2 linked regions of the Pelodiscus sinensis genome follow. The protein of the gene in region 1 interacts with the protein of each later gene in a pairwise test. Links are inferred from orthologs where the notes say so. Each region holds a gene or a part of one and is shown on either strand. Other genes may lie near its edges.

Region 1 (15,662 bases):
TTGCATTACTGGAAGGAGCTTAGATGTGCCTGTGATGAGTGCAGTATAAAAATCTATATAACACAGACTCTTTGGCATCTGTAATTATTTTTCAATAATGCTGTGACCCTGCTCAAACTCCAGACTTGAAGTTAAATTTGAAGAAGGGCTACAAAGCAATTGAAACTTTGCCCATGTTCTTTTCCCCTGCTCATTAAGGGTGTGTCCTACCCAGCAAAGTTATTTTGGAATAATGACGGTTATTCCGAAATAACTATGTGAGCATCTACACAGCCATTCCGTGATTTCGAAATAATGGATGGCTTATTCTGACTTCTATAAACCTCATTCTGTGAAGAATAACGCCTATTACAAAATAGCTATTTCGAAATAAGGCGTGTGTAGATGCTCCACTTCTGCTATTTCGAAATAGCACCTCACCAGGGCCATTCTAAGTTATTCCTCGTAGGGCTCTAAATTGGATTGCACGTCTACATTAGGGAAGCTTCCCTGCAGTGTAGACATGCTATTTCAAAATACAGATAGTCCCCAAATTAAGAACGAGTTACATACCAAACATTTGGTTGTAACTCGATCTGTTCGTAAGTCGGACCCCATTCATTTAAATGTGGCCGCGCTGTTCATAAGTGTGGATCACTCGTTCGTAACTCGGGGAGCGGCTGTAATGCACTTAATGGGAGGTTTGTCGTAAGTACGAACGGTCGTAAGTCGATGTGTTCGTACCTCGAGGACCACCTGTAAGTTATTTCAGAATAACTATTCCGGAATAGTTCATTCTGAAATAACTGCACAGTGTAGACGTAACCTAAAACAGCTAGAGCTGTATCATAAGGAGTGCAATTTCTCTCAGCCCCCAAGCATTTCACCCTCTCCTATTTGTTTTCTGAACCGACTCCAAAGACATTCAGAATCAAACTTTTCCTCTCTGTAGGGTGTAACTGCTTGGATGCTGATGAATGTTGCAGGTATGTTTTAGGCTGAATGTACCTGTATTTGCATTGTTCTAGGCTCAAGCAGGTCAATTGCTCTTGCTGTGTGGCTGAATGAAATCTCTGTAGTATTGGATGTACTAGACCCATTTAGAACACTGGTGGCTTCAATGGAATGTTATTAATGGACAAAGATGAGTCCCTGCAATGGATATTCAAAGCAGGTGGCAGCAGGGAGCATAATGGGTAAGAGAGATTCATGGTTCTAAACCTGACCATGTGGGTGAAATTCTCCACTGTGCAGGCCAAAACTTATGCCCCAGACTCCGGTGCCCTCTCTGGGAGGCTCAAGTGGGATTCTAGTGGCACGTTGGTTTTTGTGACCACTCGCTGCATGGGGGTGAATTTCCTCTTGTGTGAGGCAGGGTGCACGAAAAGAGAACATGAAGGAACAAGGGCAAGTTGCCCAAGAGATCTGAGGTCCCATGGAAGGTTCAGTTAACCTGGGGCTTCCTCCAAGATGAGGCAGGTAGATGAATTTTGCTAGCAAGAGGCCTTTCACAATGAAGGCACGGAAACGTTAATGCTCACGGCAGTGAGAGGCTGATATGGAGAAGCACTGTGCAAGCTTCCTCCAATGGCTATTCAGTCACTGCATCACCACCCGGACTAGGGAAAGGAAATACAGCTTCCCTCTGCAGAGCCCATAGCCATGCAGTGCAAGGTTCTTTGGCATCAGGCTGAGACCACCCAAACTCACGTCACGTGTGATGCAATTCACAACTGAATCCAGAACCTCGATGTTCCAGACTTGTGCAATGAACATGTGCGCCAAACCTGTTAACCTATTCCCCATGAGACATGATACCGAAGAATGTTGTGGTGGTATTAATTAACTGCTTGGAGTTCTTGCCTTTGAGCAATTGTTTGAGCACCTACTCACACCCCCACACTTCTGAAATGGTGGTTTACATTAGCTGGAGGCAGGTAGCACAGTCCCCCATGTAGCGCTTGGTGTGCGCATGAGTGAGGCAAAGGGAATTGGTGGGATCCATGCCTGGAGCCAAGATGAATTTGGTAAATTTGGACTTTCCAGTGACTGGGGCACTTCTGTTCAGGGCCATCTAACCATAGGGACATAACCCACCTTCACGGTGTCCTTTGAAACCAAAAAATTCACATAAATGGCTGGGACAAGGAAGTGAATTCTAGTATATCTAGGGATAATGTCTTTTTTTGGGGGGGGCGGAATGTCTTAGCTTCCCCTGCGGGCAACTCCTGGGTCAGGAGCATGGACATTCTCTGGCCGAAGCTGCAAGAAGGGGTCTTGAAAGGTTCTCTAGACCCTGATGTACACTAGGGCTTTATTTTGAAATAACCCCCTTAGGTCTAATTTACAAGAGGAGCGTCCACACGACCACGCCCGTTATTTCAAAATCTCTACTCCTGCTTTTCTTGGGGAATAACGCTAATTTTGAAATAGTGTTAATGTGGCTGCTCTGATGCTGCTATTTCGAAATAATGATTCCCCAGAGTCATTCGAACTAATTACTCCCCAGTGCCTCCTGGGGCTCTAAGTGGAGGCAGCACATCCACATTAATGGAGCCTGCCTCAGACTCATTTCGAGGCTTTCTCCATAGTGGGGACATGCTATTTTGATTTCGTAAAATCGGGAGTTAAGTCCAATGTAGTTATTTTGAAACAGTTTCCTAGTGTAGACCTGGCCTAGGAGGGCAATCTAGAAAGTTGGGAAAGAGAGGGACTCTTAATGGGTCCCTTTGTACCCCAAAAACAGACCTACCTGAATAAGGAATAAAAGAGCAAGAGTAAAAGTGGAGTCAAAAGTTCAGGGTTTGGCCCCAATGAGAGTTTTTTCTCCAGTGAAGTCTAGGTTCAAAGTGAGTTTAGTTTGTAGGGTGTGGCTTCACGGACCTGATCCAATCCCCAATTATGTCTTTTTCCATTGACTACAATGGGCTTTTTTAGATCAGGCTGTGTTTGCAAGGGGTGTAACCCTAGAGCAGGAGCAACGGCTTTGCCCTAGGAAGACGAATTATTCAGTTTTTCAACCCTGTTGCTACAAACTCATGCCAAGTTAACAAGGCTAAAGCCCAGCCCAGCCCACACAGAATGGGACCCTGCCTGTTAAATCTTGCTCACAAAGTCCATCACCCTGTCAAGAAAAGTCTGGGTGAAAAGCACCATGCCCTGATGGCCATACACTGACCAAGGTGGGGGAGGTAAGTGCTAAAGTCTGGGATCCCCAGCTAGGCACTGACAGCTCCAAGCCCAGAGCCTCAGCTATGCCCTGCCCAGGGACTGCTCTAATCTATGCCAACAGGCTCAGGCCTCCAGGAGACCGTCATGGTGCAGTGTAAGCTGGCCACTCCCATTGCCCTAGGAGGGGGCGCGACAAAGGAGTTGTCTACACTGGCTGTGCACCTGTTAGGAATGCTCCTGCAGCAGGGTGGGAATGTGCAGAGAGGACCTGGCTGCTTTCCACTTCCTTGACACCCCGGAGCAGCACACAAGTGGGCTATGCTAGGGCTCCGTGAAGGCAAGGGGAGGTTTTCCACGGGCTTGGGATCAGGCCTGGGGAGAGGAGTGGAACTCAAGTGGAGCCTTCAGATTCCCAGCTGCTCTTCACTTCCAAGGTCAAACACAAGGGGAGAGGCGGGGACCATGACGACAGAGATGATTTTAGATCAAAACCATGACAGGTTTCAACATTCAGACCCTGGTTCCTGTGGCCATCAAACTCAGGCAATTATGGAAAAAAACCAGAGAGAATCTGCACAGATCACAGCTGCCTGGGGAAGACAGAAATGAGATCTAAGGGGCAAAATGCCTTTATGATCTCTTCCCCACAGGACACCCAGCCTACCATCTCTTCCAGAGAAGATGTGAATGCCTTCTTTTGCGGCATGTTGATGCAGAGCTCAGAAATATCTACCACCCAACATATTTTTAAGCAGAATTATGTGTCACACATCTGCTCTGCTTCTTGCCAGGATTCTTAAGTGTTTTTCTTTCTTTCTTTCTTTTTTTTTTTTTTGGTCATGGGAAGCTTGCTCATACCAAAAGAACTGGATTAATACTTGTACAAGAGGAAACCACCACGCGTTTGCAGAGAAGGGGCTGGAGAAGTAAGGAGACTGGAGAGAACAGAAGGGAGCCTTTTTTTTCCAGGTTACCGGTACACGTCCAGCATAGGTCACTGGTGACCAAAAATTATTCTGCTATGAAGTTATTTGGTGGAGGGCCTAGGAGTCTCAGTGCACAGTTGTCCACAGGACAAAGCCACCATAATTAGCACCGTAGCTTGCAGTCTCAGTACAGGAGGCCAGGACTAAATAAGCCATTGAGACTGGACTCCCCACCCAGTCCTGGTAAGTGGCTGCTCCAGTTCAGGATGAGATGCACTAGCTGGGGATGACATGGGCTCGCTTGCCCTGGTGTGTGTGTCTCTTGATCTCCGCTCTCAGCTGCTCTTGCCTCCCGTAACTATTCTCCATCTTTCCCTCTCCTGCCTGCTTTTCCCCCTTGCTCTCTTTGGAAGGGTCCTGCCACCCACTTCAGCCTGTGCTCTGTTTCCCTGGTCCCTTCTCCTACGTTTCCGTGCCTCCTCACCTTTTTCTGCCCCCATCCAATTCACTGCAGGCCAGTCTGAACAGCTGAGCAGTTGGATCAGGCATGCATGGAGCTGCTCGAATGGCCATGCAAGCAGAAGGCCAAGTGTCCATTGAAGGAGTCGGCCAGCAAAAGCCACTTTGGAAGCACGTGGGGTAAGCATACCACCGGGGGCTCTGGTCATCTGTCTTATGCATAACTCTTAGCAGCTCTTTTATTGCTGTTCATAGAGCAGCAGTGACAGGTGCATTCAATCCGAAAGCACAACAGCAACTGGAAAGAGCCAATGACAGAGAAGCCGAGAGCTCCACAACTCCAAGAGGAAGAGAGGCACCTGCCTAATGACATTACACAGCCTAATGGACATTTTTGATTCACATCTGCCTTGGGGTAACTGGCGACACTGGCAAATAGAGATGAAGCACTGGACTAAAAGTCATGACACTTAGGTACCATCCACCACTGTGTGAACTTGGGCAAGGTGTTTAACCTCTCTGGGCCAGATCATCAGCAGGTATAATCCCTGCAGCTTTTCTGGAGCCAATGAAATATGGCTTACACAACCCGAGGCCCTGGTATTCTGCCTCAGTTTCCCTGCCTGCAGCTAATTACACATACCTCCTGTACAACACATTGAAACTGATAAAAAAAATCACTCTAGGGTCAGTGTTATTAGAATAAGGGGTGCACTATTTTATCAAGTCGGGGTGAGAACATGTTTTAGATCTAGTGAAATGCACTGCAGTGCCTGCAGAATTTGAAGAGAAGTCACAGTCAGAAAACTTGCCTCTGCGAAAATAAAGCAAGTCAGATTTCCCGTGTATCCCTCTTTTCCAATGATTCCGGAGCAGCATTGCTCCAAAGGGGGACCTCCTGCAGTGCCCTTTCTTCCTCTTGCACTGATGTCGGTGACCAATAGGAACTGATTAGCCAGTAGCTCTGATGGTGATGTGCAAGGCAAAACAGAACCCAGCTTGTTCTCCCAGAGCTGTACCAGTTCTGCAGTGCTAGTAAAAACATATTGTTGCCAGTATGTAGGTGTGACCCACAGAAGGCAGCGCTGGGAGTGAGAAGGGGGCATTTTTACATACTTTTCTGACTGCAGCTGCACTTGAATTAAAGCAGACAAGGTGTGGGTGTTCTCTAGTTTAGCTCCTTCACACCTGCTGCCCTGGGTTTTATTTAACATGATCTGCTGAGTTCCTCTGCAGAACATGGGCCCTGCCACAGTCCCTCATCCTTCAAGAAAGGCCCGCCGCAGGCATGGTTTCAGACCTTTTTTAGCTGAGATCACCAGATTCTGATCTCAGTGACATTAGTATAATCCAGATTAAATCAAGAAAGTGTAAACTGGATCAGAAGCTGGGGTATGAATGACTATTCTTCAGCACTGATTCTCTTAAAGAAAAGACTAACATCAATTTACAAACTCACAACTAGTGTCCCTTTGCTCTTCATGTCCCATAAACCACAGCCCTTTCAATACCTCTGTAGCATCCACAAGCTACGATTTTTTAAATAAAATATTTTGGTGAATAGGCTTAAAAACACATAACATACCTATTTGTACACAGCAGGGGTAGAGGAGTACAATGGGGGAACCCTAAAAGAAAATACTGCTATGTGTCAATCATCACTACTCCTCAACTAGAAAGTCAAGTTCTCATGCAAATAATAAACCACATATGAATCTCTGGATGGAACTTGTGTTCCAGCAGCATGCAGGAAAAACCCAAGTCCCTTTGCAATACCTGCAGAGGCGGTGGCTTGGGAGGCTTACCTTTAAATCGGGAGGCTTGCTCCGGGGAACAGGATGGGGAGCAGGGTTTGGGTGAGCAGCGGCGCCCGAATCGGGCAGAGCGGAAGCACAATCCCCGGGTTTGGCATCCATGGCAGCCAGGTTGGGAGCATCTTCAGCCCCAGCGCAGTCCTCCTCAGGCTGCTGCAGCTCATCCGATTTGCACCTCTTCATGCTGACGAGCTGGGGTGGGCGGTCGGAGCTGCACTTCCACTTCTTGGAGGAATGGCAGAGGAATGGAAAGGGGAAAACAAGGAAAAAGCAGGACAGGCGGAACCAGAGGAGCCTTGGTCAGTGCCCAGAGAAGTTCACTTCACCTGTGAGATGCAGGCAGGCCACAGGCAAAGGCTGGGGAGGAGAATCCTTTATCCAAACAAACTCATTGCAGGGGGAGAGGGGAGGAAGGGAAGGTCATTCCCTTATCCCCCCCCAACTTTCCCCTCTGTTTGAGCTGCAGTGATTGCATCTGCGCTTCGGGAGGGGGCCCCTTTCATGCAATTAATCATCTCCCCCCTCCCCCCAACGCTGGTACTCACTGCTCAGGAGAAACAGGGAGTGATGCAAAATGCTGGAGCCTTGCATGGCTGCAGCTCCTCGGGCCTGGGGGGCATCGCTTCCCCGCCGCCCCCCCTCCCCCCTCCGCCGCCTGGACATCTGCTGCCGCTTGTCCCCCACTGCCCCGGATTCGCTGCCCACCGCAAGGATGCGGCCGCCGCGGCTGCTGCTCAGCCTAACCCATCCGCCCCGCCGGCGGGGGAGCCTGAGTGACAGCCGCCGCGGCCCAATCGGAGCTAGCCGATGGAGTGGGGAGCCTGGAGGGGGCGTGACGCCGAGCCGCTTTCAGGCTCGGTTGGCCGGCAGCTGCCCGCCTCTCCCAGCCCGGTTCCCAGGAGCTGTCAGTGGGAATGGTGCTGCACCGGGCTGCGGCTTTGCACTGCAGGCAGCAGCTGGCAGGGTGCTGCAGAGCCGGGAGGGAGGCCACTGCAAGGTCCCCGCACCTGGACCCTAGACAGGAGCCCACCTTGCCCCACTTCTGCAAGGGGAGGATGCTAGACAGATGCACTGGGGAGTGGAATAGTCACCTCTTCATTGCCATGGAAACTCCTCCTACTTGCATGATGTTCTCTGATCGCTGGCCAGGGCTTCTCCCCTTTTTCTATCTGTCTTCCTTTCATTTCCCTACCTCTTTTCTTTCTTTCTTTCTTTCTTTCTTTCTTTCTTTCTTTCTTTCTTTCTTTCTTTCTTTCTTTCTTTCTTTCTTTCTTTCTTTCTTTCTTTCTTTCTTTCTTTCTTTCTTTCTTTCTTTTCTTTTCTTTTCTTTTCTTTTCTTTTCTTTTCTTTTCCAACTTCCTAAACTTAATTGCCCCCCAAAGAGATTTTTCTTTCATCCCTTTAAGGTACACGCATCTGCACGCGCACGCACACACACACAGACAGACCATTAATAATCTCAGTCAGAGCTTGCCAAACGCATTCCTTTCTTGCATGGACAGAAGAAAAATCAGTAAGACAATTAGCACTCAGGTTGCATGAAATTCTTACTGTTTCTCGCATTGAATTTCTTGTGCCCTTTTATGTAGACCCTGAAAAATACCAAATTCCATTTCTGTCTCAGTTGGAACAAAATGCCCTTTTTTTGTACCCAAACCATGCAAACTTGCAGTTTTTCACCTTGTGTTTTCTGAGAGAGCCATCTTCACCTCCAGAAGGGATTGGCTTTTCTTCAAAGTTTGTTTGGAATAAAGGATTCTCCTCCCCAGCCCTTGCCTATGGCCTGCTGGCATCTCACAGGTGAAGTGAACTTCTCTGGGAATGACCAAGGCTCCTCTGGTTCCCCCTTTTTCTACCCCTGCAGAGAGGGAGGCCATTAAAAAAATAAAATAAAACTTTCTAAAATGGCTCTGCCCTCACTCTAATCTAATGCACCCACTCCTCCCCCAGAGCCAGGCAGCCCAGATTCTTTTATTCTTTTATTAACACCCTGGGTCTCATTGGAGCCTCGCCGCAGCCACACGCTTTTCCCTCCAGGCACTGGGGCGTGTGCGCAGAGCAGCCATGAACTGTCCAGGCACGTGGCTCTGAAAGACAGTCGAACGTTCCCTCGAAGGCAGGTGCTCCCTTCTCAAATCCCAGACTTTTTTGTGTTTTAAAAAAGCCAGCCAGATGGCAATTTAACATGGGAATAAAAGGACATATCTAGAAAAAACTGGATGTATGGTAACCCCGATAAGAGCTGTATTTCTATGAGCAAAGAGCCTCATGCGGCTCAAGAGCTGTGGGAACTGGGAGAAAGGCTGGATGAGTGAAGAGGTGACCAGGAGAGTGATAGAAGAAGACAGAATAGCATCAAACATGCATACAATCTGATGAGTTACCAGCTAGTATAAGTATATCCATATTTAACACTGTCTCATGAATGATTCTGGATTTAAGCCAATTTCTACCTATGAAGGAGCAGCAGCATGAGACCTATATGGGGGAAAGTGCACCCCACTTCTGCTAATTGCAGGGTTCTTACATTTTTCTCTGAAATAGGTGGCATTGACCACTGCGAGAGACAGGTATGAGATGCATCATTGGTCGGAGCCAGTCAAGGCCGTGTCTAAACTACACCCCTCTCTTGGCAGAGGGATGTAAATTAGACATATCGAAAGTGCAAATGAAGTGGGGATTTAAATATCCCACGCTTCATTTGCATAATGGTGGCAGCCGCTTTTTTTTCGAAATGGTTCTTTTTGAAAAAAAAGGCAGTTTAGATGGGGCATTTTTGACACAAATCCTGTACTCCTCATTTTTTGTGGATGGTACGACCCACTTCTAAAGCTGATGACACCATCTACATTTTTTGTTAGTGTCTAAGGTGCTGCAAGACTATGCATTATTTTTTAAGTTTTTTTCAGCTACAGACTGACACGGCTATCACTCTGAAACTTTAGGATATCTAATGTTAAATGTGTCTGTGTTCTGCCAAAGATGCTGCAGTGTTCCCATTTCAGCAGTTTAAATAAGAAAATTATGTTGTTCAATTTTATCAGTATGGAAAATTTTTTCCGTTAAAAGTATTTCTGCAAAAGAGCGTCTAGATTGGCATGGATGCTTTTGCGAAAAAGTGCTTTTGTGCAAAAGCATCTGGGCCCAATCTAGATGCGCTTTTGCACAAGAAAGTTCCGATGGCCATTTTAGCCATCGGGATTTCTTGCGCAAAAAATTAAGGTGCCTGTCCACACTGGCCCTCTTGCACAAGTATGCTTGTGCAAGAGAGCTTATCCCTGAGTGGGAGCGTCAAAGTATTTGTGCAAGAAGCACTGAATTCTTACATTAGAACGTCAGTGCTCTTGCACAAATTCAAGTGGCCAGTGTAGAGAGCTGGCAAGTTTTTGCGCAAAAGCAGCTGATTTTGCGGAAAAACTTGCCAGTCTAGACACAGCCCATGTGTGATCTCTCTAGTTACCATAAGTGGCTGTGGAAGCTGGAGGGAAGAGGAGGAGTTGCAGAGTTGTCTTGCGGTTGGGGTGGGCTTGCCTCTTTCAGTAAAGGTCGGCATCAGGTTTTTTGCATTTCAAAGCTAAAGCAGGAGAAGGCTTAGTGTTTGTAAATTATTTATAGATCTTTAGATGAAAGGAGCTATTTGGTATTAGCAATGATAATATTCAGTAGTAGTATTGATTTAATATATCAATGTATAAATGAAGATGTTACAATCAACGGTCCAAATCCTGAAGTTCTAAATCATATGTTGCTCACTCTTTATTCAATCAAAACTCCTGTACAATGTCTAAAAATGATTTAAATGGCTAAAAAAATAATTAAAAGCTTCAGAGCATGGCCCTATAATGACATTTTATTTTAATCCTTACAGGTAATTCTATTTACTCTAATGAAACAAAATGATTTTGGTAGCTCACACCTGTCCTGTTTCATCAAGAAGGAAAGGCTCAGGTGAAAATGGATTGTTTTGGGTATGAAAGCTTCTCATCTTGTCTGCAGCATTTTTCTTATCTTCCGTTTCTGACTGATGCATGTTATTTCAGTACCGAGCAGATGTGATCCAGTAGGTGGTCTTATTGCTCGGACTATTTCTGCAAAGAGTTATTTTTACTCTGTCCTGATATAGCTCCATAAGCATATTAGTTCATCTGTATGAGGGCTAAGAGTTTAGCATGCCTGTGTTGTTCTTTGTCAAGCACAAAACCTTAATGGATAAAGGTATCCTTTTATCAATGTGGGTAAAGAATAGATTTGTAGGTGCCCAGGCTAATCTCTCAAGAGTGGGACTAAGCTTTGGTTGACAAAGTCACAAACACAGGATAGTACTCTTTAATTTTAAGGGATCAATTGAAGCAAAAATATAGTATGTTGTTCCCTGACAGCACCCTTCATTTGAAGATCTGGAATAAGTTCACAAACACTAACCAGATGGGCTTCCCACCATCTGTGGGCCACATATTCTTTAACTTATGTCCATTTTACAGGTAACTTAACTAAGGTACAGAGCAGGGGAGTGATTTGTGGGCAGTGATGTCATGCCACCACCAAGACCAGAACCCACAAACCTTTATTCCCTGCTGTAACCACTAAACAACACAACACGATCACACTATATCTCTGATCTTGAGAGGTGCTGATGACTTGCAGCCTCCATGGTCCCTCATTCCACCTCTCTCAATCAGGCCCTATCATAAAACCATAGAAGGGACCTTGAGAGATCTTCAAGTCCAGTCCCCTCCCCACACAGCAGGACCAAGCACCATCTAGATCAGGGCTACTCAATTTTGGAAGCCCCCGAGGCCACAATGATACTCACAGCACATGCCAAGGGCTGCAACTTAAGTATGGTTGCATATATAGGCAAATATAAATGCAAATTGCTTCTTTCCCACTGACGGGAATGAATACAGAGATTAAGCCTTAAGCTGTGGCGCCGGACCCAAACGTGGCCAGTGTGAGTCAGTCAGCACCTCTCAGGCTCTGCCCACAAGGCTAAGCAGCCAACACGTCCCACAATGCCCTGGTGCTCCCAGCACCTCCTCCTTGGGGGATAGAAATGCCGACACCCTGCACCCGTCTGTTCCAGCCAGCCCGTCCGCTTGCGTCTTTCAGTGCTCACCCCACATGGGAGATGCCTCGCCGTTGTGAAGCGTGTTCCCTGTGAAGGCCATGTTCAAAGGATCCCACCTGTGGGCTGCATGTTGAGTTCCGTATGTTGGAACTGAAAGTTTTATTCGTTTTATATTTGTATTTTAGGATTAATAATGTAGCAATGTAAGGTAACATAGTATCACATTTAATATTTTATTAAACTAAGCCCTTTAGTAATATATATATATATTTTAAAGTTTAGTAAGTAGAGAGACAAGATCTCATATTGTGTCTATGTCAATGAGATTAGAGGAGTGTTGAAGGCCCGATCCTTCAGTGTGAATTATTTTAATTACAAAATTTAGTAAGGCTATTTACAATGCTGTTTGCTTTTGTTCAATATAAAACTTTGCTGTTTGTACTCTGTGAAAGACTGATTGTATGAATGAGATATGGTGTGAAGGTCATTGTTAGAGCAAGATGGTCAAGAGAGAAGGGGGAGAATGTGGGGTGAAGACAAACTGTAAAAGACAGACTGCGAAGAGACATATTGGCATCAGAGAAACCATCAGTGCGTACCCCTGGTCAAGAATTGATCAGATTGGCAGATTGACGACTCTAAACGTAAAGACATCCCTAAAAACAACTGATTAACATCCAGGACAGGATGAGCCTTTTGGAGATGTTTTGGGAATGATTAACATCGACAAGATAACAGTAACTGGTCACAGACTGACACAGTGAAATCCATAGACTTCAACAGGTAAAGAGGATTATAAAAGCAGGGTGCTTTGCTATGGAACTTTGGGTTCGTCTTGCCACTAACTCCAGGAGCATTCCTGCCTTGAGGGCGGGGGGCTGGACTCGATGACCTCTCGAGGTCCCTTCCAGTCCTATTATTCTATGATTGACAGACAGAGTCCAGCTCCCCCTCTGTGATCAGTCTGGCTGGCCACTAGATTGATCCAGACTCTGGACTGGTAACTATAACATTGTCTGGCAGGACTGTGTGTGTGTATGGTGTTTGTGTGTGAATGATTGAAAAGCATATGCAACTGTTGCATTCTCAATAAATGCAGTGCACTGCCTTTTCCCCCATAAAAGATCTTGTGTGCTTCATTTAAGCATAACACGCGTAAACCCAAACCACACCATGGGCTGCACACAAACGGGCCATGGGCTACATGCGTATTGAGTAGCCCTGATCTAGATCATCCCTGATAGATGTTTATCTAGCCTGCTCTTAAATATTGCTAGTGATGGAGATTGCACAGTCTCCCTATGCAATTTATTCCAGTGTTTAACCACCCTGACAACTGGGAAATTTTTCCTAATGTCCAACCTAAACCTCCCTTGTTGCAATTTAAGCCCATTGCTTCTTGTCCTATGGCTGCATAATCCAGATTAAACACTGAAAAGACAATATATTGGTGAAGTTCCCTGTGCAGAAGGCCAGCAAAAAGCATATATACTGCTTAAGTGCCACCTGAATCCTCAAAATATGACTTAAATGGCACGTAGGTGGGAGACAGACCTCATGCCATCACTCTGTCCTGGGGGAGAACTATCCAGCCTCCATAAACAATGTTCATCTCCAAACAACGTTCTATTGTTTTAATCAAAATCCTAGCATCTAGGTCTATCTTTTAAAAATAAACATGGGATTGTGAGAAGCGAAAGTTGCTATTCATTAAACACATTTTACATTTGATTGGAAACAACATCTGTGGGATGTATGCCAATTAGCTCTGTCTGGCCCGTCATAAATCAAGAAGAATCAAGACATGCCCTTTACAATGGGGGCTTAATATTTTTTCTCTACTCTCATCTGCTGAGAGGCATCAAGCACTCTTCGTTGTGTGTGAGAGATCACAGATCAAATCAAACATACAGATTGACATGTATCTGATCACAAATACCTGATGTATGGTATTTGTCTTTGGTGTGTGGAGTTGCAGTGGGATTCTTGCTTGGTGGAGCCATGGAGATAAGGCTGTCAATTTCTGCAGTCTCAGAAAGGAATCACCGCACTCAAACAACTGCTAGGCATTTGCTAGGGGTGTTGGGGCTTCAGCAGCTCAGATACCAGGGATGAGCATGGAATAGATAGATGTGATTGAAATGCTGCCTTCTATATATCAGGGTGATGTGCAGATAGAATCTGCTGCCTTTATTTCTCTCAACCACAATGCAGCAAAATGCATTTGATTTCAAAAGAAAAGTCAATAATTACCTGCAAGATATTTCCCACCATTCTGTCCTCAGAAAAAAATCTACAAGTTAGGGTATGTCTAAACAGCACCCTTTGGTCAGAATAAGATACACAATTTGGGCTATGCAAATTGCATAGCTTATTCCGAGTCTTGGTTGAAAGAGCTTATTTTGAAATTTGGCGCTGTGTAGACAGCACCAAATTTCAAAATAAGGCACTATTCTGACAAATCCCTTAACCCTCATGGAATGAGAGTTACAGGGGCGCTGGAATAGCGTGCCTGCTATTTTGGGAAATAGCAGGTGCTTTTAAAGATGGGGTGTTGCTATTTCAGGATACTTCCAGTGTTCTGAAATAGTGACGCAGTATAGATGTACCCTTAGTTTGATCAGTCTCTCGCTCTCTGTCTTAGGCATGACCTTAGTACAGCACCAACCTAGTACAGCAAATTAATCTTTCTATTCAACCATAAGCCCATTTAGCAGGTCCACCAACAGAGGCCTTTCTGGGAGACAACCTTCCAAAATGCTGCTCATGGACCTTGCCAACTATTCAGCTCCATATGCTGGGAAAGAAAAGGAACCAGGGAGAGGGAAGGGATGGTGGCAGTTGAAAAGTATATCTTAAGTTGATCTTATGACTGAAAGGTTGAGAGGAGGGAGGAGGGCGGATGTAAATAGCATTTTATCAAGCAGGAAATGATATATCAAAAGGGAACCACATTCTCACACATAAAAATTGAATGTCATGCTATGGAAAATTTGTGTATAAATCACTTATTTCAGCTCAGCAGAGATCATAAGGGCCATAGGGCATGGAAGGAGATCAAGAAAATGTGGAAAAGGCATAAAGGAGGGGTTTTTTCAGATGGGAAATGGGTCATCCGGCTCTCAGTTACGTAAGTGTAAATCTGGAGATACATCTTTGAGTTACTCTAGTTGTAACTGAGAACAGAATTTGGCCCTAAGTATTGAGAACAGCCTTGGTGGATGTCTCCAAGGCAAATACAGTGGTGTTTTTGAAGATGCTGTTATATGGTGTCCTTAGAACAATGATATGCTCTTTCACAGGACACGTGTCTGGGGGTATGAAATAGCCTTGGTACATTTTGTTTTTCCTACAGAAAAAGATCCTTTAAGGAGTCTAATGAAAACAGAATTTTGGTCTGAAAAGCATGGAGTTTGTTTGCACATTGAAAATAGGGTGATAAGAAGGACTGGGGAGGCAGTTGTTTTGGTTTTTGTTTTGGAGGAAGTAGAATTGATTTCCACTTCAGAACCTATTCCCCATCATTTGCAAAGTCCAGCCGTTGGACTATCATTTAGGCTATGTCTACACAGCAGCATTATTTTGGAATAACTAACGTTATGCTGAAATAACATAGTGCACATCTACACTACAAGCCTTTATTTCGAAATAACGTTGAGCTGGAGGACTACTTCCTCTGACTCATGGTAACGCTCATTTCAGGAAGAGCATGGGAAGTCGGAGGAAGAGTGTTCTTCCTTTGACATCCTGCTGTTTAGACAGCACCAAATGCCGAATTAATCTATTTTGACTTCAGCTACGCAATTGACGTAGCTGAAGTTATATAGCTTAATTTGACTTTAGCCCTGCTGTGTAGATGTACCCTTAGAGAGGAGAAGGAAAATAACACAAAATGCTGCCAACTCTTATTAGTGACTCCCATCTGCAACCTCTGTCATCGATGCTGCCATCTCTCAACCTGCTATGGACGCTCTTGCGCAAAAGCACATCTCTTGTGCAAAAGCACATGGCAGTGTGGATGCACTCTAGCGTAAGACCTTTTGCTCAAGAACTCTTGTGCAAAACAGTTCTTGCACACGAAGCCTGCAATGTAGACGTAGCCGAAGAGTTTGGATGTCTGCCAACGATTCACTGCAGCTATTCATTCTTGATGATTCGTGTAATCAATTATCTAAGTCACATTGGTACTGTTCTCCTGCTTGATTGAGTGAACTTTTTAAACTAGAGAACGATAAACACGGAAGA
Region 2 (15,434 bases), on another chromosome or scaffold:
TTAAAAAATTACCTGTGTCTCCCTGCAAAATACTTCAATTCCTTTGTCACGTCGTTTTTTGGGTACTGTTTGTGATCCTGCATTATGAAATTCCACGCCTGTTACCCTATGTTTAAATCCACCCAGAAATGGCTTACGATAAGTAGGCCTTTCGATCTCTACTGCTACATCCTGGAATGTGTCAGAATCTGTTCAGATATAATAATTAAATACAATTATATACTATTCTGTAAGTAATCTGATTACAATATGGCACAAATATTAATATTAATGCATATTTGAAAAATATTGTTGACCTGTTTGCACTCTCACAGTTATGACATCAGGCATGTTGTAGTCTTGCTGCAGTTTAATTGTTTTGATTGGGTACTGTTCTGGATCAAGAGAAAACATTTCAATCTGGATAGTTCCATGAGGCCTAACTCCAATATGCATTAGAGTTTCACCATCCTCAATCAGCCTCCCTTTAAAACAAAACAAACAAAGTAAGGCATTCTTCTCTAATAAAAGAGGATACTGTCAAGCATTTTCCTCGGAAGAAATCAAAACTACAGATTATTTTAGCGAAACATGAGTGTTGAGTCAGTTTAATCTCAATTTAGGAAAGTCTGTGTTACTTCTGCCCAAAAGATATTCTAGGTAGCTCTGTCACAATCATACAAAGAGAAAAAAAATCATATTCACTTTCAAGAAAAAAGGCACAGAAATTAAAGTATCTACTTACCTTATTTGTTAAATAGCTCTTTAAAATTCTAGCTTTTACATTAGTTACTTTTTTGTCCTCATTGAAGATTTAGTGTATTAGTAAATGTAATATTTCTATTTTCAAACTTGATGTGGGTGCACAATAAACAAAATGGCCAGAAAGCTGAAATGCATAATCTGATGCAGACCTGTGGTTTAAACACTAACTCAGATTGATACAAACTGTCTTTAATTTTAATGCAATATTTCAAATACATCTTGCTTAATGGAAAGATAGTACTAAAATACATGGAGTTGAGTCCTGGGTATGCTAGGTCTCAGTTGGTTTTGATAAAGTATCCCAATATAACTTTAACAGGTTTGAAAAGCCTAGCCTGCCAATTCCATTGTCTCCCAGCACGGAGCCACTCTGTGTCACTTTTTGGTCATCTCTGGTCTATCCTGCAGTTCCTCCAGGAAAAGAAAAAAGAGAAAACTGACTCAAGCAACAAGTTTTGAGAAATAGATGCCAGGAAAAGCGCCTACTCTGTGTCATTGCCACAAAGGAAAAAATATTAAAATTAGTAATTTTCCAGAGCAGCCTCTACCTCTTGGATCTTACTCATTTTCTAGTGCCCTTAACCACAAAACACCAACTATTTCTTTTCCAGTCCTACCTAGCTCTCTGGGTACGTTTACACAAGTGTTATTTCGGAATAACTTACGTTATTCCAAAATAACATAGTTCGCATCTACACTACAAATAATTATTCAACATAATGTAAAAGCAATGTTGAGCTGGAGAAATTCTTACTCTGAGTCCTGTAACTCTCATTTCAGAAGGAGCAAGAGAAGTCAGAGGAAGAGTGCTCTCTCTCAGACTTCCTGCTGTGTAGATAGCTTATTTTGGCTTTTGGCACTATTTCAACTTAAGCTACACAATTGACATAGTTCAAGATCTGTAGCTTATTTTGACGTTAGCCCTGCTGAGTATATGTGCTCTCTGCTATTAAATCAGATACACTCTAAGATTTCATTTGTTGTAACATTTTCTAAAGAAGAAAAAAAGTATCTGTAACTCTGAAATTTGGGGTCAGCCCAGACATGATATTTTAATGAAATGTTAGAGGAAAATCTTTGGTGTATAATAATAAAAATATAGTTTCAGTATTTGAAAAATATTAAGATTGTGTTTGGTTCACCAACTAAAATATTTGAAGTATGGTTCTTCTGGAAGTAGTTGATGTACAAATGCAAATTTTATTCAATAGACCTGTTTAGTGATTGACACCAGGTCTATTCAATTTACTATATAATATATGCCAGAAATATATTCTTACAAAAAGTACAAAGTAAGGTCATGATCCTGCCATTGGATCCACATGAACAGACTCCTTTATTCTTGTGGACCTTCCCCAAAGCCTGCCTCTGACAATCCAATTTCAGGATCAGGGCCTAATCATTTATGATTTTTAATAGGGCTGAAAAACAAAGAAAGGTTTTTACTAAATCTTTGCTCCGTACCTTGAAACACGACCTGTAAGACATCCTGTGGTACTTTTAGCTGTGATGCAAAGTATTGCTTCAGCTTCCCTACGGACTGGTTAATGTTAAAAGCCATTGTGATCATCTGGATATCAGGAACCAACATGATTTTAACTGAGGAAAATAAACAGAGATACCAATTCCTGTTATATAAATTGAATGGATGATAAATCCTTTTATTTAGACCAGTGTTTCTCACAGTTGTCCATGAAACCACTTTGAGAAACCTTTTAACTGGCTGCTCAGGTATGTTTACCTACTGGCACCACGGCCACAGAGCCTCGTGGCTCCTATTGGCTCCGTTTCACCATTTGCAGCCAGGAGGAGCTGCAGGAACCAGTGACCTGGTCCACACCGCTTCCTGTAGTTCCCCTCAGCTGCAAACAGTGAAATGGAGCCAATAGGAGCCACGAGACTCTATGGCCATGATGTCAGTAAGTAAACACACTGCAGCAGCCATTTAACTGTTTTCTCAAAGAGGTCTTGTGGATCACTTTGAGAAACTGATTTAGATTGAAGAACTGAATTTCAGCTCTTCCAATATTCATAAGGTACTTTTCCCCTCTTCCAAATATGCTTCACGAGATGATTTACCCAGCACTGCTCGTGTCCTTACCTCAATTAATTTTGGTGTTTTTTTTTTAAAAATAAAAAGAAAATGTACATGCTTCATTTAGATCATTGCTCTGGGGTGGGGTTGGGGATGAAAAGTTCAATACGCAGGCTGCCCTGGAGAGAGGGACTACCCAAGCCCTCTTCCATCACAGCACCTTGGGGCCTGGTGAGAAGTATATCTCTATGGCTGCTGCAGGTCCAGTTGGCACAGTCAGGGGAGGGATGCATGTCCACTGGCTAGGGCAGGTTCAGGTTTATCTGTCCCCTGTGCTCCCCAGCCAGAGTGAGGAATGCAGCAAACTGTGCATTTTCCCCCTCATTCCCTGACAAAGAGGAAAAGTCAGCAATGTTCTCATACAAATTGGGGGAGGGAGGAGCTTCAGTATCCCCTGCCCTCTGTAAAGGATGCTGGGGAGAGGCTTAAAGTTAGAGCAGTCCTGGAGTGCATCCCCTCCGCTCCCCCAGACAGTTCCTTTCACCTGACTGATGATTCTGGATCTTTTCTACATGGTTTATGAGAAGCAATCCCATTACATTTACATCCCATTGTCATGGCACAACCAAACCATTATCTGGCTTTAAGTTATAATAAGAGGAAGCTGTATACTGAATTTGTGGTCATAGCTCTTACTGTTTAGGCATTCTTGAACAAACAGACAGACACTCACACAGAGTGACACACAACAAACTCTCTTAAATATATAGTAGATGTGCATAATAGTGTGTACATATATCTAGATATAAGAAATAAAATTTATATTATAAATGTTACATTTAAAACAATTTACACCAAAATTACAAAATGAAAACAAATCAGAATGTAAAACATATCAATAGCAGCAGTGCTGTGTGACCTGGCATGCCAATAATGACAGTTTATTTTGTAGTTCTCAATAAAGAGAAAATTCTCAACAGAGAAACAGGGATTGATATATAAAACACTTTTTGCTACCAGGTTAGGAATAAAATATCACTTTGATCTATCTGGTGTTTCAGCAGGTAGATATGGTGTAACACAATTTTTACTAATGCAATATGGTTTAAAGTTTATTTTTACCTCAAAAATATCAAATATTGGATGGAGTCCATGTTGCCTCAATCAGGTAATGAGCAAAAGCCAAGAAACCATTGGTAGGTTGTGAATAAATATAACACAGCATTTGTAAAAATATGGCAGTAACAACCAATTTTTATGTGAAGCAAATTTTATACCTGTTGCTGTAGCATTTGTTGTTGCTTCTGGTAAGGACCTCTCAGATTCCAAATCATCCAGTTGCCTCCTACCTAAGTTGTACATTTCAGCTGCTAACAACTTAACAAATGTTTCTGTAGTAATTTGAGAAATTTCTTCAGTCACTTTAGTTAATGGAGCAGTTGGCTCAGCTGCACCTTGTTCACTTTTTTCAAGCAATTCTTTATTGCTCACAGCAAGATCATTAACCTCTTCAAGGCCTGGTTCCTGCCCTTCTATGCTTGCCTGCTCTTGTTCCTCAAGACCCAGTTCCTGCCCTCCTACCTTTGCTTGCTCTTGTTCTTCAAGACTTGGTTCCTGCCCTTCTAGCTTTGCCTGCTCTTGTACCTCAAGACCTGGTTCCTGCCCTTCTAGCTTTGCCTGCTCTTGTACCTCAAGACCTGGTTCTTGCCCTTCCACCCTTGCCTGCTCTTCTTCCTCAAGACCTTGTTCCTGCCCTTCTACCTTTGGCTGCTCTAGTTGCTCAAGACCTGGTTCCTGCTCATGAGCCTCTGAAGTGGGTTCCTGCTCCGGTTCCTCCCCACAAGTCTCTGGAGCTGGTTCCTGCTCCTTCTGTAGTCCATCCTCATTTGACTGTGATATATCTGTCCTTGCTTTCAGAAGAACCGATGTCTCTGCAGTGCTAATGTGATCGGTCTCTGTATCATCTTCTTCTGGTGGCTTTCTGTGTGTGAGATCTATCATTTGCTTTTCAGTGTCTGATACTTCAGTTTTATCTGCTTCACTGTGGCTATCAACCACCTCCTTTGGATCAGCCATTTTCCTGAAATTTAAGATTATATATTTTTAAGTTTCCTGCTTGAATAATTCACAGTTTTTTATTTTAAAATTTCATAGTGATACCTATCCCCAACATTTACATCACCAAACATACTTTGCCGTGTCAGTCACAATACTGCCTATTTAATGGTGGCTTGGATCTTTGGTTCAAAAAGTAAAGTATTATTAATCCTTGCAACAGTGGCCTCAAGTCCTTCCAACTGTTTTCACTAACCATGGGACACAATAGCCTAGCCATTATTTGGTAAAATTTTCCCCTGATACAATTAAGACTTCACTGAGAAAATTCCATTAGAGAGCAGAGCCTCTTATAATTACCTGGTCGGATATTATGGTAACAGAAGCAATGGAACTAATGCACACTGGAATCATCACATTGTTGTCCTTTTGAAGAGTATCCAATCAGTGAGACCTTGCTGAGGTGCCTAAGGCAAAAGAACATTGTTTCTTTGTATCTGTCATGTACACAACACAGGAAAATTATCTGAGATACATTGAAGGATCTCAGAGTGACTTTTCAACTATCAGTGTTCTAGTCTCACTATCAACTTCAGTGGATCTGTAGGGATGTCTCGAGTTCCCTCTGAGGAACCTGATGACATTTTGATACAGTATTGTGATACCTTTATGGGCAGTCACTATACCAAGCTCATGAAAGATGTCAATGCACAGGGTGACATTATATCCTTTTTTGGCCACAACAGTCCCTTCATTAAGCACTGCTCTGGCCTTTCAGACATTTTTTTTGGCAAAAACTGGAATTTGTCCTTTTTGTTTTTGCCAACTAATCAAGTTGTCAAGAGCAAATGGGACAACTACCTACTTTTGTCAAAAAAGTCATGTGTGAAAGAATGTGTGGGGTGCACGTGGTGATGCCAGCCCCCTGCTTGGGAGTGGGAGAGAGCGAGCTCTGGTGAGGGGCAGGCAAGACTCAAGCAAGCAGCAATACCAGCTCCAGACTCACACACGGGGAGGACGGAGGAGGGCAGGTAGGGTTTGGGCGAGCAGCAACATGGGGAGGCTGTCCCTTTGGAGACTGTCCCACTAAACCCCTAACGTGGTTTTATCCGGGGACTGGGACTGCGGCTTGGTAAGGACCCCAAAATGCACCAACGGGACTACAACACCCAGAATGCACCACAGCCCACCGAGCCCATTCTATAGATGCAGCCGTCAGACTCCCACTCCTGGCATTCGAGGCGCCCCCCCGCCCCGCCTCCTTAACCCTACAGCGGTAGCGGCGCTGTGCATGCTGGGAGACGCAGCGTTTCCCGAGGTGACTTTGAGCCAGCCGGCGCCTTGTAATTCCTTCATGCGGGACCGGCTTATACTCCTGCTCGAGCCCCCTTTACCTCAGCCCCAAGGCGTCAGCGCCGCTTCCCGGGCAAGACGCCTCTGCCCCCTCTCAGTCTCGAACGCCAGCGCGTTGTGGTTGCAGCCATGGCAACCTCGAACTTTTACACATTCTCGCGAGATCAGGGTAGGGAGGGGGCTGAGAGTAGGAGCATGCGCGTTATGGGCCAATGTTGGCCCGAAGGCTTGAGAACAGAGCAGAGCCGTAGTGACCTGCGTTTGAGACAAGGGCTCCGCGGCGCTGTAGTCCAGGCTCTGCTCTAGCCTCTCCGCAGCTTACGCATCTGTTCCCTAGCGCAAGGGGGAGACCAACGGCCTGTCAAAAACAAAAACCCTGGCGCGCCCTCCAGCGAGACTCTCTCTAAATTCTGGTCACCACCGCACTGAAGCGTGAGCCGGGGGCGCTGAGAGCGTGTTTGTGATTAGTTAGGCAGCTTAGATTCTAGCGGCACCGTTGCAGAACACACAGATGCAAGCGCCCACCTGACTTGTGGGTGCAAACCCCATGGTAACGGCATTGTGCGTGCACGTTTTTGAAAATGCGACCGTTCATCGGTCGTCATCATTGTGATGCTCATTAAGTACATTATCGAAGTGAGCCAGAAATACCGGTGAGTGCAGTTATACCCAGTGCTCAGATGCCATAAGGTAGTGGTTGCATTATACCTAGCAGTGCTTTACTTTTTACAGGCGAAGCAGAACTGAACCCTAAGGGACTTGTCACTAACAATATCGTAAGAATTATGTTTATCTTGACTACAGTATGCAAGTTACTCTGTAAAGATAGACTAGTGGGCATTATGTGACTTATGATCTATTAATTTATGAAGTCTTTTAAATTAACACTTGAATTATTCCATATTCATTATAAACCACTACAATACCATTTTAGTTTCAGATTCTGCTTATTTCCAACCAAATATTTTTCCTACCAGTATTACTACCATGACATGCATGGGAAACAAGGGCACATTAAATGAGGTGCATGCTGAATGCACACAACACAGAGCCATGTGTGCTGTTCACAGATTTTTCCATGTCCAAAGTCATACTGAAAATTCCTCTATCACTGACTCTTTGGGCTTGTTATCCCCTCCCCCAAGAAGTAAACCACCTTAGAATATATAATTAACATGAAATAAGTTCCAAATAGCTTACTCCAAGTTGTGTAGTTTGGGATCTTAGTTTTAAGTCTTGGCTTAGGTAAAGGACTGTTAAAATTTGAAAAGTAAGTTATTTGCATTTGACTTACAGATGCGTTTGTATGCTCTATCTAGTATAATCCTGATTCTTAAGGTCCTTAAAAATTACCAGCACACTATCAAAGTAAATTTAAATGTGTGGAACAGTACTGGCACTTCAGTACTTTGTCTCCAATAGTTACAGGCAGTCCCCAGATTACGTACAAGATAGGAACTATAGGTTTGTTCTTAAGTTGAATTTGTATGTAAGTCAGAACTGGCTCCAGATTCAGCTGCTGCCACTGAAACTGACCAGGGGCTGACTACAGGAAGCCAGAGGCAGAATTGCTCTGCCCCCAGCTTCCTGGAATCAGCCTGATCAGTTTCAACAGCTGCTGAATCTGGAGCCTGGGACAGAACAGCTGGGGCACTGCCCGGTAGGTTCCTACAGGACCAACCCGGCAGCACCCCAGCTGCTCTACCCAAGGCATCCTGCAACAAAAGCCTGCTCTGCTGGGGGGGGCGCACTAGCTGCGCCTCCATCCCCCCCAGCACACCAGGGAGACCCGAGCAAAGCTGCACAGGCGGAGGAACCCCACCGCCCCTGTGGCTTTGCTCCTGTCTCCCTGGTCTGCTGGGGGAGGTCCAGCGGCTTTGCTGGACCCCCCCCCCCCCCCAGGGGGACAGGAGCAAAGCTGCCCAGGCGGCGGGTGTCCCGCCGCCTGGGCAGCTTTGCTCCTGAGCAAACGAGCCAAGCCGCCCAGGTGGCGGCTTTGCTCAGGTGTCCCTGGTCTGCTGGGGGGGGGGGGGTCCAGCGGCTTTGCTGGACCCCCCCAGCAGACCAGGGAGACCGGGAGAAGCTTTTCTTGCCCCGGAAGACATGGGTGGCGACCCGCCGCCCGTGAGCTCTGGGGCGAGAAAAGCCCCGTTCGTAAGTGCGGATCCGACATAAGTCGGATCCGCGTAAGTCAGGGACTGCCTGTATATAGTTTTGTTTGCAGACGTCATTCTTAGCTTTTTCTCCCCCAGAATGGCTTTGCAAATGTGCCATTTTTAGTCAAAAGTATCAAACACACAGTTTCATCTGTATTTATCTCACTGTGGCTCATCAACTGTGTGTAAAATGTAGTTCTCCCCTTCCTCTTTTTGGTTAAACCACAGTCTGAGATGTGAAATGACAGCCATGGTAATTAAGTGTCAAGAAGTGGTATGTGAAAATTAGATGAATCAGAAAAGAATAAGAAGAAAGTTTCTACTTAATATATTGTTAATTAAATCAGCAAGCTAGGGAAAAAAAATCAGAGTAACAGCTAAACAAAGTTTTAGTAAAGCCCAAGAAAGTCAGACTGGACTTTTACATCCTGCTACATTTAAATAGCTATTGAAGCAAAATAAATTATACACATAAGCCATTTTCTTTAAAGACATTTTTATTAACATGATATCAATAATTAAGGGTTTTTTTTCAGTTCTCAAATAGTTAGACATAAAACTATTACACTGGCCATCGCCATTGGTCAGTAGGAGGTTCTTCAACTAATGGTTCCCATGGCTTCCATTGGGCCATTTTTCTTGCTAGAGAGAGCTCACTTTCAGCCTGTTGATGAAAACATAAAATATAATTAAAATATTTTGTATTTTGAGATACTGACTAATCTATAATTGGAGAACACTGCTTATGAATTTCAAAAGCATTCAGATGCCAAAGTTCCATCTAGAGTGATTTACAAGCAATTTAGTCATTGGGCTACAGATCACAATGCAAAGCCATACATTTTATTCTCACTGACTTCAGACATGAAGCCCACTCTAATCATGGTAAGAGTTCAAATTTACAGGAGTATGTGAAACAGCACTGCAGGTATATTTAGAAATTGTGGAAATTTGCATCTCTACTTAACCTATAGCTACAATTATGTCATGAGCAATACATTCTTACAAGAGTTCCTTAGTTGGGACATAACCTCTTATTTTCTAGCTTTAATTTGCAGATTAATAATTTGATTAGTTGAACATGAGTGAGGAAAAAACTGACTAAAACCAGAATAGCAGCAATTCAACTTGTTTTAAATGCAAGTGTCACAATCTCTCCATGTGTTATGAAAACTGGCTTAAGATACTTTAGGCAAAATGCATCACGTGACATTTTAAAAGTTGCAACATAATGTGTATATTTTGTGCATGTATCATTCTTATGTAAAGTTAGAAATATGAAGTGTGAATCTGTTTATAATTCTAGATGTGCTAGTGAGGGCCAGGGTAATACTCTGGAGACAAAGGCCCAGTACTCAAGACACTAAATGGGTTTGTTTTTCCTGTAAGCTCAAGCTACAGTTGGTCCTACAAAGATATGTGCCCCAGTCACCTAATGCTGGAACCCATTTTGGGTCTTGTACTTTCCCATTCAAGGTGAGAAAAGTTTGAACTGCACACAAAGAATTTCCACCTTGGGAAAAAGGGATTTTAAAAGCAAGAAACCAAATGGCCAGACACCAAAGCTACATCTACACTGCAGGCTTCTTGTGCAAGAACTTTTTGCAGAAGATTTCTTGTGCAAGAGCGCATCCACACGGCCATGTGCTTTTGCGCAAGAGATGTGCTTTTGCGCAAGAAAGCATCCACACTGTCATGAACTCTCTTGCACAAGAAAGCTCTGATTGGCCATTCTGTGAATAGCAGAGCACCTGTGCTTTTTCTGATAGGGGTTTCTTGCGCAAGAAACCCGTTGTCCATCCACACATTGCTGTTTGTGCAAGAGCTCTTGTGCAAAAAGACTTATTCCTCATAGAAAGAGAAATAACTCTTGTGCAAAAACACACTTAGGGTGAGTCTAGACTGGCAAGATGTTGCGCAAAAGCGGTTACTTTTGCGCAAAAACTTGCCAGCTGTCTACACTGGCTGCTTGAACTTGCACAAGAACACTGACTTTGTAATGTACAAAATCAGTGCTTCTTGCGCAAATACTTTCATGCTCCCGCTCAGGGATAAGCCCTCTTGCGCAAGAATACTTGCGCAAGAGGGCCAGTGTAGACAGGCACCTTAATTTTTTGCGCAAGAAAGCCCGATGGCTAACATGGCCATCGGAGCTTTCTTGAGCAAAAGCGCATCTAGATTGGCACGGATGCCTTTGCGCAAAAGCCTCTGTGCCAATCTAGACGCTCTTTTGCGGAAATACTTTTAACGGAAAAACTTTTCTGTTAAAAGTAGTTCTGCAAAATCATGCCAGTCTAGACGTAGCCTTGTAGTGTGGACGCTCCATGAGCTTTTGCGTAAAAACTCTGCAGTGTAGACGTAGACCAGGAATCCCCTTCTTACCATCCAAGATGCTGCTGGAAACATCTAAGACTGAACAATTGGAAGGACTTGGCTCAAGTTAGGAGGCTGTCTAGTTTGTGAAAAATATTAGAACTGTTAGGGTAAGAATTTGAATGTAACAATTTTCTTAGTGTATTAGCTGGCATGTTTTGTTTATTTTGGTGTGCCTGTTGTCACCTTCAGTCACTTACAATCTACCTTTTTATACTGAATAAAATATTATCAAGCTCAATATAAGTAATTGTTACCTGACAGAGGTAACCACCATGCAGATCTTCCCTTCATTAATAAACAGGGCTGATCTCATGAGCTGTGGAAAACTTTTATAAAGAGTAAGATGGATTTATTCAGGGCTGTGTTCCTGGATCACCAGTCTTATAGCTGAGCCCTCTCAGAATGGAATTTGTTCAGCTCTCCTAAGCGGTTGTTACTGCAGCTTTGTGCTTTGGCTAGGGGAGATAAGAGCTTCTGGCCCAGCATGACAGGGTAGTGGGGCGCCCTAGAGGACAAGCAGGCAGATTGAGTGGAACGAGAGCGCGCGCGCGCACACACACACACACACACACACACACACACACACACACACACACACACACACACACACACGAGATGAAATCCATCACAGCAAGCATAAAATGTAAATTCCTATTTGTATTGCAGTAATTGCTAGAGGGCTCCAAGATAACTGCTACACAAAGAGTGCTTTTGCCATAAAGAGCTTACTATCCATTTGCAGAAAGAAGATTAATCAGGTGCAGAATTAAGACTTGATTTACAATTAAAAGAAATTGTAGAATCATGTTATATAACTCCATATAACACAAATGAGATCATTCACTACAAACATTCGTTACAAATCCTGCCAACCCTAGCTCAGATTAGTCAACGCCCACTCCAAGTGATATTACAACATACTGGTTCCCAAACTATGAATCAGATTGCCTAAAAGGAGTTCAAGAACATTCCAAGGGCAGAAATGTCTTAGCTCCATGTAACCACAAGGGCGACTCAACCCACATATGTAAGAAAATAATTCAAAGAAATTCCAGGCTCCAAGGGATGCTCTGTAACCTATCCTATCTCTGGCTGGCACCCATAAGAGCAGGGGTGGGCAATAATTATTAAAATCGGGGGATTAATGGGATTAAGATTTTGGTAAATCATCAAGAGCCACACTTCTGTGGCAGGGGTGCTGGGTCTGAGACAGCAGATGGGGTATAGAAGAGAGCAGGGGTGCATTGGGGATGTGGTATCTGAAAAGAAGTTTGAGTGAAGGAGGAGGTTATGATCTTGGGCAGGGGAGGATTCTGTCTTAGGGGAGGGGTATAGGAGAAAGTACAAAGTCTGGGAGGGAGTTGTTACCTGGGGAAAGGAGGTGCAGATAGTTTGGGTTGTGACCTGGGACAGAAAGTTGGGGGGGTGAAGAGGTGGGGTGTCAGAGGCAGGCTCTGGCTAGGAGGCACTTACCTAGGCAGCTCCCATCCAGCAGCCCTGCAGGAATCTGATAATGGCTCCATGCCTGGCTGCTGGACTAGCTGCTCCATGTGGCTCTGTTCCACGACAGGGAAGGGGGAGTGAGGGAAGAAGGCGGCTTCCTTCTGGAAACTGGCAAATGGGACCTGAAAGATTTTGCTAGGAGGCAGAGACAGCACGTGAAGCAACCCCATCCCTCCCAGCATTTAGAGCAATTTGCAGCTAGCTGTTTAAAGCAGCATGAACTGCTGTGTAGTAAGGATTCTGGTGAGGAGGCTGCAGGCAGGATCTGGCCCACTAACTGCCTCTTGCCCACCTCTGCATAAGAGGGAGTCAGCAAAGACCCATACTCCCAACCACACTGGGAATGTGCTTCCTAACTGAAAAACAAGAATGACTGACAGCTCTTCTTAAACTACCCACCCACCAGTCTTTCCTCCCTCTCCGATCATGCTCATGCAGTCTAAGAACATAACAAGCAGGAAAAGTTGTTCAAGCACCACGCTTTTCCTCTCTGGTCTCAACAGGAGTACATGAGCACTAACATTGTTCAGCTAAGCAAGTGATTGGGACCCCTCTTGGCTCAGGGCCCTGGGCTGTAGCCACTAAAGCCCTTGGCTACATCTACACTGGCATGATTTTGCACAAGAACTCTTTTGCGGAAGAGTTCTTGTGCAAAAAGTCTTCCAGAAGAGAGCATCTACACTGGCATGTGCCTTTGCGCAAGAGATGTGCTTTTGCACAAGAACATCCATGCCAGTGTAGACGCTCTCCTGAGCAAGAAAGCTCCGATGGCCATTTTAGTCATAGGGCTTTCTTGCACAAGTACAGTTGCGCAAGAGGGCTTATTCCTGAGCGGAAGCATCATAGTGCGTCTTGCGCAAGAACTATTTCACACATTAGAATGTCAGTGTTCTTGTGCAAGAATTCCTCGCCAGTGTAGACAGGCAGCATGTTTTTACGCAAAAGCGACCACTTTGGCACAAGATCACGCCAATGTAGTCACAGCCCTTATGTTCCAGGCAAGCCCTTTCTGGAGGGGGAAGGCAGCCCCATACGCTGCCATTCCTCTGCCTCCCCAGATTGGAGCTGCATTGCCATGAGCGCCAATAGAAGCTGTCCCCTGAGCTGCACTTGCCTGCAGGTGCTGCCCCTCAGCTCCCATTGTCCATGATTCCCGGCCAATGGGAACTGCAGGCCCCCCCCCCCCCCCCGAAAATAGGAGCAGCTGCTCCAGGTAAGTGCCCTGCACCCCAACCCTCTCTCCAGTCTCACATCCCAATCCCCAACCTTCTGCCTTGAGCCCACTCTTTGGCCCCAGCCTGGAGCCCACTCCTGAACCCCAAGCAACTCATTCCAAGCTCTACCCCATAGCCCAAGTGGAGACCTCACCAACACCTGCCTCAACATGCAGCCCCCTCCCATACATTGAACCCCTCATTTTTGGCCCTACTCTGGAGCCTGGGAGGTGGGGAAGGGCCATAAAATCTCCAGGCCCCAAGAGTTAATACAGCCTTGTCCTTGGCAGATCTCAGGACTTCAAGCTGCAACAGGGTGAGCTAGTGCTGACATTCCAGTCCTGCAGCAAGTCAGCCTCAGCACCTCTCCTCCAAGTCTGGAGTGCAAGCAGAGCCCTGGTAACCCTGCTTCTCAGTTTAGGTCCAGGCCAGTGGGTTGTTTTTTTCTTTCTCATTGGTGTGTTCTTCACAACTAAATTTTCTGTTGGTCGGTGGCCCTTTACCCAAAAAAGGTGCGAAAATTAAACATTGAGGCTACGTCTACACTGGCCCCTCTTCCGGAAGGGGCATGTAAATTTCAGCAGTCGTCGTAGGGAAATCCGCGGGGGATTTAAATATCCCCCGCGGCATTTAAATAAAAATGTCCGCCGCTTTTTTCCGGCTTTTAAAAAAGCCGGAAAAGAGCGTCTAGACTGGCCCCGATCCTCCGGAAAAAGTGCCCTTTTCCGGAGGCTCTTATTCTTACTTCAAAGTAAGAATAAGAGCCTCCGGAAAAGGGCACTTTTTCCGGAGGATCGGGGCCAGTCTAGACGCTCTTTTCCGGCTTTTTTAAAAGCCGGAAAAAAGCGGCGGACATTTTTATTTAAATGCCGCGGGGGATATTTAAATCCCCCGCGGATTTCCCTACGACGACTGCTGAAATTTACATGCCCCTTCCGGAAGAGGGGCCAGTGTAGACGTAGCCTGAGAGTGCAGAATTTTCTTTTTCTTACTACAGAACTGGGCTGCAGAACAGCGGGCTGCTATTAAAAACTTTGAGGGATCCCAGCAGCTGCAGTTCCTAGCCCGCCCTTACAGGAGATGGGATGCAGGAAACTCCAGACAAGCTCGGAACTCTTCTCCCTCTGGATTCCTAGGCTCTGGAGACTTAGGGATGCAGGTGTCTGGGATTTGGGGGGGGGGGGGGGGAGGAAGAGAGGGAAGGGGGAACAGCTGGGATTTGGGGGGGAAGTTGCAAGTGTGTCTGAGGTGGTAGACTCTGCAGCTGGGCTCTGATGGACAAGGGTTGTGTGTAAGTATGTGGTGAGACCCTCCCCACAACTGTGCTGTAGTGTAGGTGTGGACAATAATTTGACGGGGGAGGGGGGGAGATGCCAAGATTTTGAAAAGTGGTCGAGGCCCTCACTTTTCCATGATATCAATGGAGGAGATGCGGGGTCCAGAATGGAGGTTAGGTGCAGAAGGGAGCTTGGAGTCTGGGAGGGAGTTGGGATTGTGAAAGTAGAAAGAATTATACTGTAAGAGAAAGATGAATTGTACTGTAATAATTGAATAAGTTGAAGGAATTCTGTTTGTCTTTTAAGAGGAAGAAGAAAAGTATGTTAATGTTGATTGTAGGTATGCAGATCAAGGTGCTAGCCAATTTGGGCCTGAGTTTAACAGGAAGAGAAACATTAGGCAATTCTAGATAATCAGGGAGATATAGCCAGGAGATTGCTGTGTGCTTGATATTGAAATGAAGATACTTAACCACACTAATAATGTGAAGTTTTGCCACACCCTTTGATCTTGTTAACTTGGCCTTTTGACTGTATAAAATCAAGGGGTTTGTACCTTGTATGGTACTCACATTTTCTGAATGCATTTTAGCAAAGCTTTGCTGAAATAAACAGAGCAGTCTGCCAAATCTGTGAGTCCTGTCTAACTTTGACAATTTGGAGGTCCCACTGAGATGGCAACCGTCTTCGCTGAGGCTGTGTGATCCCTGACTGTTTTGCA

The links.
Region 2: the proteins of TMCC2 (region 1) and IQUB interact in a two-hybrid assay, tested with the Homo sapiens proteins (2 studies listed by BioGRID and IntAct). The two-hybrid records come from large-scale screens. The link is inferred for Pelodiscus sinensis from reciprocal best matches to the Homo sapiens genes TMCC2 and IQUB.

Annotation. Positions count from the first base shown.
Region 1 is NC_134737.1:7,327,330-7,342,991, forward strand, and holds the start of TMCC2 (transmembrane and coiled-coil domains protein 2), read right to left. Parts: upstream 7,090-15,662; 5' UTR 6,895-7,089; exon of another isoform or gene 6,707-6,894; 5' UTR 6,533-6,706; coding exon 6,341-6,532; intron 1-6,340.
Region 2 is NC_134711.1:40,750,896-40,766,329, reverse strand, and holds the start of IQUB (IQ motif and ubiquitin-like domain-containing protein), read right to left. Parts: upstream 6,821-15,434; 5' UTR 6,443-6,820; intron 6,376-6,442; exon of another isoform or gene 6,229-6,375; intron 5,302-6,228; 5' UTR 5,195-5,301; intron 4,860-5,194; 5' UTR 4,856-4,859; coding exon 4,057-4,855; intron 2,344-4,056; coding exon 2,209-2,343; intron 465-2,208; coding exon 297-464; intron 189-296; coding exon 13-188; intron 1-12. Other genes in the region: NDUFA5 (NADH dehydrogenase [ubiquinone] 1 alpha subcomplex subunit 5), read right to left, coding at 8,906-9,007. UniProt on the Homo sapiens protein: Adapter protein that anchors the radial spoke 1 (RS1) complex to the A microtubule of outer doublet microtubules in axonemes. The triple radial spokes (RS1, RS2 and RS3) are required to modulate beating of the sperm flagellum.